Drosophila melanogaster: one gene and its partner. The protein of the gene in region 1 purifies or fractionates together with the protein of each later gene. This does not show direct contact. Each region holds a gene or a part of one and is shown on either strand. Other genes may lie near its edges.

Region 1 (7,655 bases):
TGATTAACAATTAGGTGTTTCCGTAAATTTGAATTTTCTCCGTTCTGCTTTTACAGACTTTACTCCATGTTCTTTAAGCTTAAACTTAAATTAAAGCATATAGATTATATCATTTAAAAAGAAGAGCAGAAATATCTTAATGCATTTTGCAGGGTATTTAACAAATTTGCAATTTAAAGGCGCATACAGGAAGATGGATGGGGAAAGGATTCTCGGGATCGTACTTTCGCTTACAAATACAAAAATTGGGTAGCTTGCAGCTTTAGTTTTAGTATTTTAAAGAAATTCACGTATTGCGCGCGATTTAGGCATGTACGTGTAGGCTATTTAATGCTTACAGTTTATACAAAATAGTAAACCAAAAGAAAACGACGACTGCGACAAGTGCTCAATATCCTTGCGAGATGGGCTCAACAAACAAAATCGTTATCAATGCAACTCCTCTTCTTCAACTCTTTCTCTCTCTTTGCATATATACGTGTGAGTTGTTTGTTTTGTATACATATATAAATAGTTCATCTTGTTTCGCATTCGCTGCCTCCGATTTTGCTGCTTAGTTTTACATAATATAGTTTATAATTCGTATATAATGCATTTCTGTTTCTATCTCCGAACTCGTCCTTGTTGTAAATTAACTTTTCGCCTGCCTACATTGCCGTTCCGTTCCGTTTTGAATCGATCTGGATTCTATAATCGATTGCTATTGCTGGTTGAAAGTAATGTGAGTGAGAGCTCGAGCGATGCTGAGTACTGTTTTTGTTGATTTGTCAAATGTGAAGAAAGCGTGGCGTGGCGTTGCTGTTGTTGTGGCTGTGGCTGTGTTCTCTCGTCGGGCTTGCAATGCTATCTCAAAAATCGCAATGAAAGGCGGGCGCTCGAATTTAGCTAGGCTCAATTTATTCGACCACCTTCAGCACCTTGCCAATGGCAATGGTTTTGTCTGAAAGATAGAAATGATAATTAGACGGGGATCTCCCGAGTCACCAATCGACTTACTTTCATCTCTGAGCGTAAAACGGCCCATTTGAGGGAATAGCTTAAATTGTTCAAGGCAAATCATTCCGGAGCACTCGATTCGCATAATTGCAACCTGATCCTGCTTAACGAACCGTGGACGTGTTTTTGATTTGTCACCAGACTTTTTGTCGACCAAACAGATGAGGGCCTATTGAAAAATAATACATATTCAGTATCTGGCTAATGTATGGGAATTATAGACCTAAAACTTACCTTAACTGTGACTTCTTCGGCTGCACAGTGTATGTGCATGACAGCCGAGTAACCCGCACAGATAATTGATTTGTGTTCTAAAATTACGACCTGAGCATCAAAGATTTTTCCCGTCTTGATGGGATTGGCTGCATCGCAGAGAACAAAACCGGGCGAGACATCCTCCTCCTCAATACCCTAAAAAAAAGTTTAAGAATCAATTAAAATAATCCAAGGGTATAACAAAAGAATCATGTACTCACTTTCAGCTTAATCTTGACGTTCTCGCCGGGACCAACAGAAGTGACTTCAAAGTCGTCCGAGAACAACTGATCCACCGCCACTTGCGTCTATGTGAAAAACAAGCTTAGTTTCAAATATTCAGCTGATTGCAAAGTGTATAAACTTACCCTATTTGGCATCACTAACAGGTTTTGACCCTTGCGCGCTGTTCCGGACTCAACCTTGCCCATCACCACGGTGCCCATATCCTTGTACTTGTCCACAATTGGCATGATGAAAGGCCCGTCCGACTTGCGGTTGAGCGAGGGCAGCTCGTCAATGAACGGAATGAAGGCGGGTCCCCGGTACCAGGGGCAGAGCGTCTCCGGGATTTGGTCTTTCAGCCCGTATCCGCTGAGGCCCGAGCAAGGCATAAAGGTAAGGTCCTTGGCCGGGTTGAAGCCCAGCTTCTTGAGGTATGGTAGTATCTTGTCTTTGCATTCGTTGTAGCGCGTCTGATCCCAATTGACCGTTGGGTCATCCATTTTGTTGACCAGCACGACCAGATGCTTAACGCCGGCGGTCTTGGCCAACATGGCATGTTCTCGGGTCTGGCCGCCGCGATCGAAGCCCGTCTCGAATTCACCCTTTCGCGCCGAGATGACCAGCACTGCGAGATCGGCCTGCGCCGCGCCACCGATCATGTTAGGCACGAAGCTCTTGTGACCGGGTGCGTCGAGGATAGTGAAATGCTTTCGGTCCGTTTCGAAGAAGGCTCGTCCCACCTCGACGGTCTTGCCCTTGTCGCGTTCCTCCTGGTTGGTGTCCAGCGCCCAGGACAAGTACCAACTCTCACGCGACTTCTCACGTGCCTCCCGCTCGTACTTCTCCAGTGTTCGCTTGTCCACCATGCCCGTGAGCGACATGATCTGTCCGCCAATTGTTGATTTGCCAGCATCTACCCAAAGCAAAGTGCGAATGTTAATAATGGCTTTTGGTGGGACATATGTTTATAAGTAATGATAACTCACCAACATGGCCAATGAACACAACATTCACGTGCTCACGCTTGCTCCTATTTTCCTCCACCTTAACCACCTTCTTCTTGGACACCTTCGGCGTGGCCTCGCCCTCCGTGAACTCAGCATCTTCCACCTCCTCATCCTCGGGCGTGATCACTGCATCGTCCACATCCCAGCTGTCAGCAGGATCGGTTTCTAAGCAAATAAAAAAAAACCAAATAAAAGGTCATTAGTCGAGACATTTACAAGGCGATTCTACTGTGCTTGGTGGTGAAAATAATATGGCTTGTTGAGGAATATATAATTGTTTGTTGTTTATTTTCTATCGATTACTAAAATTGTTATCGCGCAAATATATAATTTATTTACATTAGACAATCTTGGGAAAACTAGTAATTTTAAAAATTGTTCAAAATAGTGTCGGTTTGTCCAGATCAATCCAGTTAAAAACCGAATAAAGCAATGAATTTTTTTTATTTTTGGAATTGTCCACATCATCGTAATAGTTTAAAGAAACTTTAGTGATGGGAGTAAAATTCACTTTAACTTTCTCTATTTCACAATATCGAAACCTTTGTATTTTGAGCGACATTTAGTAAATGCAAACATGTCTCTTTTTATGCACAAAAATAAAAATGCAAATGTCATGCCTTTTATTTTTGCACATGAAACAACTGTGTAAATAGTTTCTTTTTAATTTAGGTCGGTTTGTTAGAAACTTATAGCACTTCAGATGATTTAAACTCAGGGAAGTTGAGCTATCACTTCACCAATTATATACTTCGTACTACCACTCATGCACTCGCCGTGTTTGACCTGGCGGCCACATGCTAATTGCTAATCGCTGACTCTAGCCACCCGGGCGGATGAGTCATGTGCGGGATTGGATTGGTGGAGTGCTGTTCTGTGCTGGTGTCAACGTGCTTGGTTAATAGTAGTTCCCGAACCTTTGACGTAAATGTCGGAGGATCATTTGACCGTCTGGAGATGGGCTGTAACGAATGGTATCCCAACTCCACGATTACTAACTTTTTCTCCACTGCGAAAACGAGTAAATGTAGCGAGATCCGGCGCCCTTACTCATGATTCCGATGCATACAACTCAATTCTAATCGGATTTCGGAACTAGGAGCGGATGTAGATATAGCCGGAGAAACGAGCTTCGATCGCGCCAAAGTGTAAGAGCCAACAGCAAATGCTATTTTTTTTCGGCGCTTTGGCAAGCGCGCCGCACAGCCAAACGCCATGTAATCAAGTTCGAAGCGGTTTCAACCGCCGGCGAGCTGCACTAAGCGCTTCCATTCGGGCCAAGCAACTACAAAAGTCGCCACATTGGAGTCGCTGCGATAACGACGAGTGAGCCATTCCCATTCCCATGCCCATTCCATTCCAGTCCACACCGCCAGTCGAAGCTGGGCGCAGCGTAGGCTCCAATGAATGGCTGACAAAAGAGTAAACGTGTCCAAAACACAAGAATTGGGGGGCAAGCATTTGCGAGTGTGGGTGCGGAAGAAGGGGACAAGGCAATGGCCAAATAAACGACACCACAAAGCGAAGCGGCAGTAAAATGGCAGCACAAACAGCTGCTTGTCAACGTCGCCCGGCGAATGGCAAGTAGGTGAGTGGCCACCAGAGATGCGCCGTGATTGTTAACAGTTTAACAAGTGACAGTGATAAGTCGTTACATCGAGAAATCAACAAAGCTAAACAAGAAAGTGTTTTCTAACTATGAAATTTTCAGAATATTAAAATTATGAACAAGTTTATAGAATTGAAAAATACACAAGGCTAGAATATTTATATTAGCATATTCGTGTAAAATTTTCATGGCTTAACTCTTAAATATCCCAATTCTTGAAACTCAAAATACTGAACGACGATTAAGAATATAAGAATACTATTCGGACGAAAGTTTTCACAAATCCCAAATCCCAAGATCACAGCGAGGCGTGGATTGTTTGATGTTCATGTACATATAGATTCAACAAGTATTTTTAAATGTATGTACCTACATTTGTTTAAAGCAAAAATGTCAAAGTGCATGATTAATTCCCAACCATTAGCTGGTTTCTAGAAAACAACTAGACCTGATTTGCGGTTATTTCACCATTTGGTGACACCTCTGTAGTGATTCTGGTCGTGATTCCTGGGCATCTCTGCGCTGAGCCACTGCTGGCGACACGACGACGAGAAAAGCGGCCAAAGAAAGGGCCCTGGCCGGACGAACTGTTTTTGCGCGCAGGCCGAAAGCGATTAGCCATTTGTTTAGCGGCACAATAATGCCCGCAATTCGAATAGAAGTCAAGCAACACATGCGACGCCGACGTCGGCAGTGCTGACGCAGATTGAGGTTATGTACTAGGGCCAGCGATAATAACCTAAACGGAACCTGGTGAATGCAACCTATCTTTGGGGTTTTCCCTATCCCATTCCCCATTGTTGTGTCTCTGCCAACGGTCTTGCGACCAGCAGGTAGCAACAATAACACGCTTCTTTGTTGACGTCACAGAAGAAGCGAGTTCAATGGACGTGGGGCATGTGTATTTGGCAGGGGGTATTTAGGTAGCTAGCAAGCTCTATTTACCATTGTTTGCGATTTTGTCCGAGGGGTTGAGACCATCGATGGGCGTTGGATCCGCCGCCGCTGCTCCTGCTGAAGGCGTGGTGGCTGGCGAACCCGGCGCTGGCGATGCGGAATTGGAGGATGATGTGGGCGGCTGTGCTGAGGGTGCTGCTGCCCCCGCCCCCTGTGCAGTTGGAGGCGGTGGAGCTGCTCCCGCTGTGGATCCCCCGCTGCCGACGGAATCGGGTGTGGTGGCTGGCGTGGCTGAACCGGAGGCGGGACCCGGATCCGCCGTCTCCTCGGCCGCAGCCGCTGCAACCACTACTGCCGCCGCCTCCTCAGCTACATTCACAACGCTGTTGTAACTGAAACTGGGCACAAATTCTACCGCGTTCACGTTCAGCGTTGAGAACTTTGTGCTGATCTCCGTGTTTTCCTGGGCGGCCATCGTTGCAGTGCGTCCGTAATCCTCCGCAGTGGTTTCCTCCGATGAAAATCTCTCTCTCGCTTTTTTCACGCGACGACACACTTTCGCCCTCCTTCTACAAACTGCTTCAGCTGCTTCTTCTTGCTGCTCCCGCACTCACACAGAACACACGCGGTCGTTCGGAATTCTTGGGATTGCCTATGGTAATGGAAATTGGGAATGGCAAAAGCAATGCCACCAACACACGCACGCCTTGATGGTTGTTGGCCGGGGGGGTGGCTTGTGGGGGGTTTAGGCCAGACTTTCGGCTCAATGTGGTCTACACTTTTGTTGTGACTCGGTGTTGTGTTTGTTGTTTGTGCTTTGCTAGCCTGGCCAACTCGGGTTGAACTCGAATTCCCTTTAATTTGATCGACTATCGCCTGTTTGGGGCAGTGGTGACCACCTGGTGATCTGCAGGTATGATTCGACTACCTGAACACTAAATGCAGTGCTCGGAACTAGCAATCTTCTATTATTTTACACGTTTTAAGCCACGCATCAAGTCAGGGTTGCCACTTGTATGCGGTGTTATCGGTGCATCGATATGTGCTGGCTGTCACAGTGGCCTATAATTGATTTGGGGCAAAGTATTAAGATATTTTTAAATTTTTTTAGTAAGATTTTTAATACTTTTAAAATTATTCAACATAAATAATTATATTGCTTTTGTACTTTGTTCTGATTAATATAATTTTTTAAGGCTAAATATAACGTAGTCCACATGTACATATATAAATACAAACTGTATTTGTTTTATGTGTGACTAGACATTAATAATTTTTTATTCACTTTCAGTGAGTTTTTATAATTATTAATTTAGTTATTTTGTATAATAGAAGTGTAATGCGAGTTTTGTAAATATTGATAAGTGTGTAGTGAGCCTTGGGGTTTCAATACATTTCTAAGCTCATCATCAATGGTATCGAATTACAATCGATGTTGTTCCAGCTCTAACGTCGTGCCAGACGCCATTTTAACAGTAGTGAAAAAATCGTCTGGAGTTTGGCTCGTTTTCAGCATTCGCATTAGCATTTTAGCGGTAAAACAAATATCCAAATAGACAATGAGCAACGGTGGTGGTGCCGGGGGATTGGGCGCAGCGCGTCCACCTCCACGGATCGATGGAATGGTCTCGCTTAAGGCAAGTATCTGCTAAGTAAAATGCGACTAAATCGCCCACAAAATGGCGGCCGGCTGGCAACGTTGTGTGGTTAGGTAACCTCTCCAAAAGCATGTAAATTAATCCGCGTGTAATTATGCCTACAGGTCGACAATCTCACATATCGCACCACGCCGGAGGATCTGCGTCGGGTCTTCGAGCGGTGCGGCGAGGTGGGGGACATCTACATACCCAGGGATCGCTACACACGTGAGAGCCGCGGATTCGCATTTGTTCGGTAAGCATTCACTTCTCTTCCGGGAAAATTGTGAAAGTCTTAGGTCTTTTTTGTTTTGTTACTTTCACTTGCCGGCGGTGGATTTTAATTATCATGGGACCTAAAATGTATCCATACATACTAGGAGTAAAATATATGTATTTCCCGAAAGTATACTGCGAAAATCATGCTATACAATCACTCGTCATATCCGCTTTCACTATCTACTTTATAATGTTTCATTGAAAACTAGCACATTGAGGAAAAATGTTATGTATTCCCTGAATTAATCAGGGTATGCAAGCAAATTACAAAAGTCTCAGAGTAATCATTTAAATATCATTTGAATATAGCTGCTATAATAAGTACGCCCCTTGTCTAAACTCAAATATTCCTCTCATTTCATTAGAACTATTTGCATTATTTGCTATCATCGATTGTGTATCAGTTGCTAATCTGTACACTTTCAGTAGCAAAATGGTGCCAGAACAAATGTGTTCACTTGCAACCGTTGCCTACTCAACATTTACTAGCCAACGTACAGAGAATACTACATCTAAATAATAAGTTCTAAAGTTATAGTTTCATAACATATGGCTTCAATGATACATTAAGTTGATACAAGGTCACTTATTCTATTTATTTGTTGTATCTACCTGCATTATTTGCCCCTTTTGAATGTGTAACAGCTTTCAGTCTGTACATCTTCTTTAGCAAAAGGATGCTAGATTGAATGTGTACACTTGCAACAGTTGCCTACCAAACCCCTGCTAGCCAACTTACCGTAAGCCCTA
Region 2 (3,234 bases), on another chromosome or scaffold:
ATCTGCGGCTGTAGATTTGGCTGTGCTAGAGACTGAGACTGTTGAACCTTGAGCGGCGCGGTCTGGCTGACTTTACTTCGCTTCTTGCCTCGGCTGGCATGCGCATGACCAACACCGGGCACAAACGAACCCGTCTCCTTGGCATCGTGCAGCGGTGAACGTTTTGACGTCCGCATCTCGCGATTTCCATATGCATCCTCCTTTTCCGGACGCCTCTGCGATTGTACACTGTAGTCCCCACCGTTGTCTGCGCGCATATCTCGCCCTGCAGCACTCGGTTTTGTGCCTTTGCTGAGCACATCGGAGTACGACATGGGCATGGGCTTCACCTCGGCCACGATTCGCTTTTTGCCTTCGGGTTGGCCAGGCACGGCGACGCTCGACTTGTTGATGGCAGTTGGTGAAACGGTGGCAGTGGCCAAAGGCATTTTCAGAGACTTGGCTGGCTTGGAAGCCGCTGGCAGTGTATTGACGGATTGCGACAGTGGCTCAGGCTGCTGCAGGTTCTGATTAGGAACCTGTGGCTGTTGGGCTATCGAAGTCTCGAGAACGACGTCCATCTCGTTGGCCTCGCCATCAAATTGAATGTAGCTTCCACCAGTCAAATTGGGCGACCAGTTGTTTACAAGGTTGTTAATGAGAAGGTTAGCACTGCTCGACGAGTGATTGACTTGGGACACTGTTGGGGCCTGAGTCTGCGTCTGTTGGGGCTGTCGATGCTGGGCGTCTTGCTGCTGTGCATGTGGTAAAGTCAAAGGATTTGTGGCAAACAGTTCATACAGTGGAGTCGGCTGCGAAGGTGTCGGCGGAGCGGCCTGGTGTTGGTGCTGCAGCTGATGGTGATTAATCGAGGCCATGTTGATATGCGTGAAGAGTGGGGTGCCGGCTTCGCTGACCTGGTTGTCCGGGCAGTGGTACACTTTGAGAAAGTTGCCGGGTCCCACAGGCAGCACGGAGTAGGTCTCTGGCTGGCCTGGCTGACCGGAGTAGGACAGATTGAAGAGATACTCATTGTACATGTGGGGCTGCTGCTGCTGAAGATGGGGCGCAAATGGGGGGCCGGCTAGGTGCGGTGGTGGAGGTGGCCACATCAGCGGGACAGGTGCTTGTCCATGCTGCTGCTGGTGGATCAGATAGTTTTGGGTTTGATGTTGATGCTGCTGCTGTTGCTGTTGCTGCTGTTGGTGGGCCAGGTAGTTGCCCACTTCGTCAGTGTGGGGCAGGACGCGAAAGGGTGCAGACTCAGTGCTGCCCCCTCCAATCTCGTCGTCCTGACGAGTCGCCATGTCCTGCGATGGGGCCTATGCTTTTTGCGCACCAGCTCCGCTCGCCTATTGGAATTTCAAGCGTGCTCCATGTATTCACCGCAGCGAGTCTGTCACGGATGTGCTGCAATCGCAGGTGACAGGTAGTTGGTTTTCTGTGGCCCTAGCCCACTTTTTCACTCCAAACTCTAAATAATTCGCAGAGCGTCCGTGTGTAAGAGTTTTATATCTTTTTATTGCAAACGTCAAATGTAGTGTTGCCAGATGGGTGGAATTCCATTTTCCTAACTGCCCTCGACCAACCCTGGTAGTAACCTATCGAAAGATTTCCCTCCAACGTATTTTCCGAATTGTTGTTAAACTGTTGGATTATTAATCGAAGTTTCCTCAAATAAAAAAACAAATTTCGCCAACTTTTCCATTGCCACCAATCAGCCGTTTTTGAAGATACATATATTGATGAACCCGCTGATCGTGCAGCCCTGGTTAATATTTGTTGTTTTAAACGTTGCAGTCAAATGATTTTTAAACAATTAAAAAAATGCCTTTTGTCCGACCGCTGGTGACCGTGGTGCGGGCCGGGCGGCATAGCTATTCAGCAGGATTACAGCTACAGCAACGTCTTGCAAGGTCCAACCAGATCCTGAATCCGCCAGCGGAGTTCCGAAACTACCTGGTGCTTCAGGAGCACGACCCGGTCTACACAGTCGGACTAAGGACAAAGGACTATACGGCGCAGGATGAAGACCGACTCCGCCGGCTAGGAGCAGACTTCCATCGCACAGATCGCGGTGGCTTGATCACATTTCACGGCCCCGGCCAGTTGGTGGCCTATCCCATTCTGCACCTGGGTCAGTTCGTGCCGAGCATCCGCTGGTACGTGGCGACGTTGGAGCGGATGGTTGTCGAGGCCTGCCACCAGATGGGCATTTCCAGTGCCAAGGCGACCAAGGACACCGGTATCTGGGTGGGTGACAACAAGATCTGTGCCATCGGTATCCACGGCTCGCGTTACGTCACCACGCATGGAATCGGCCTCAATTGCTGCACGGATCTGCAGTGGTTTGAGCACATTGTGCCCTGCGGAATCGAAGGCAAGGGGGTCACCTCGCTCAGCAAAGAGCTGGACAGACATTTTCCTGTCGAGGAGGCCAGTGGCGCACTCCTCAATAGTTTCGCTAAAGTTTTCGAATGCCGCCTTCAGGAACACGCCAAAAAACCAGCAAGTTCTGCTGAAATCGGATAATATGGTTATTTGGATACATATGATGTATAAAGGACCGCCAAGTTTATTTCAACATTTATAATTTAAATTATGCATCAATACATATTTCCTGGCCTTCTGTTATCTCAACTTTTACGAAATGGAAATTTGTAAACTAGATTTATGTATTTCATAAAATATTAAAATAACATTATAACTATATACATATATAGACTCATTGTCAATCGTATTTATCTATTTTTTTTTTTGTCCAAATCTGAATCAAAATCTTCGAAATGTATGCCATACAAGAAAACTCAGCGACACACAGCCAACAAAAAATTTGGCCCGAATCGAAGTTATATCTTACTATAAATTACACTTCAATGGAGATCACATAAATCGAGCTTTATTCAGGTCACACTTTTTGGAGCGCCCATCCGTAGGAATCTTTCCCCGTGCATTCATCTCCACACGAGCCTGTTCCCGCAGCTCTGCCTTCCGCATTCGACGCTCTTTGCGTGACTCCAGAGCATTATTAAAGTACCGATCCCTGAAGTCCTGCGAGGGCGTTGGCACCTGTTTTATGCTGCACAATAAGGGTTCTGTTGGACTATACTCGAAACACTTTTCATAGGTGAGTAGCCGCCTAGCTGTATTCCCAGTCAATTGCTGCTCAGAGTTAGCTATCAGGCTCAGATGCTGATGCTGTGGCAGCATCTTCGGGTCGTAGTCCTCGCTGTGAAAGGGTATCCAGCAGACAAG

Evidence for each region.
Region 2: the proteins of eRF3 (region 1) and Lipt2 purify together in Drosophila melanogaster (affinity purification with mass spectrometry, with the first as the bait; one large-scale study listed by BioGRID). This does not show direct contact.

Annotation. Positions count from the first base shown.
Region 1 is NT_033779.5:12,432,806-12,440,460, reverse strand, and holds the start of eRF3 (eukaryotic translation release factor 3), read right to left. Parts: upstream 6,010-7,655; 5' UTR 5,465-6,009; coding exon 5,038-5,464; intron 3,772-5,037; exon of another isoform or gene 3,538-3,771; coding exon of another isoform or gene 3,483-3,537; intron 2,649-3,482; coding exon 2,463-2,648; intron 2,390-2,462; coding exon 1,620-2,389; intron 1,560-1,619; coding exon 1,473-1,559; intron 1,408-1,472; coding exon 1,231-1,407; intron 1,166-1,230; coding exon 997-1,165; intron 941-996; coding exon 897-940; 3' UTR 1-896. Other genes in the region: SR family splicing factor SC35, read left to right, coding at 6,549-6,626, 6,752-6,882.
Region 2 is NT_033777.3:4,435,680-4,438,913, reverse strand, and holds Lipt2 (Lipoyl(octanoyl) transferase 2), read left to right. Parts: upstream 1-1,584; 5' UTR 1,585-1,806; coding exon 1,807-2,511; 3' UTR 2,512-2,692; downstream 2,693-3,234. Other genes in the region: CG14650 (uncharacterized protein), read right to left, coding at 1-1,286; CG1074 (uncharacterized protein), read right to left, coding at 2,863-3,234. UniProt on the Drosophila melanogaster protein: Catalyzes the transfer of endogenously produced octanoic acid from octanoyl-acyl-carrier-protein onto the lipoyl domains of lipoate-dependent enzymes. Lipoyl-ACP can also act as a substrate although octanoyl-ACP is likely to be the physiological substrate.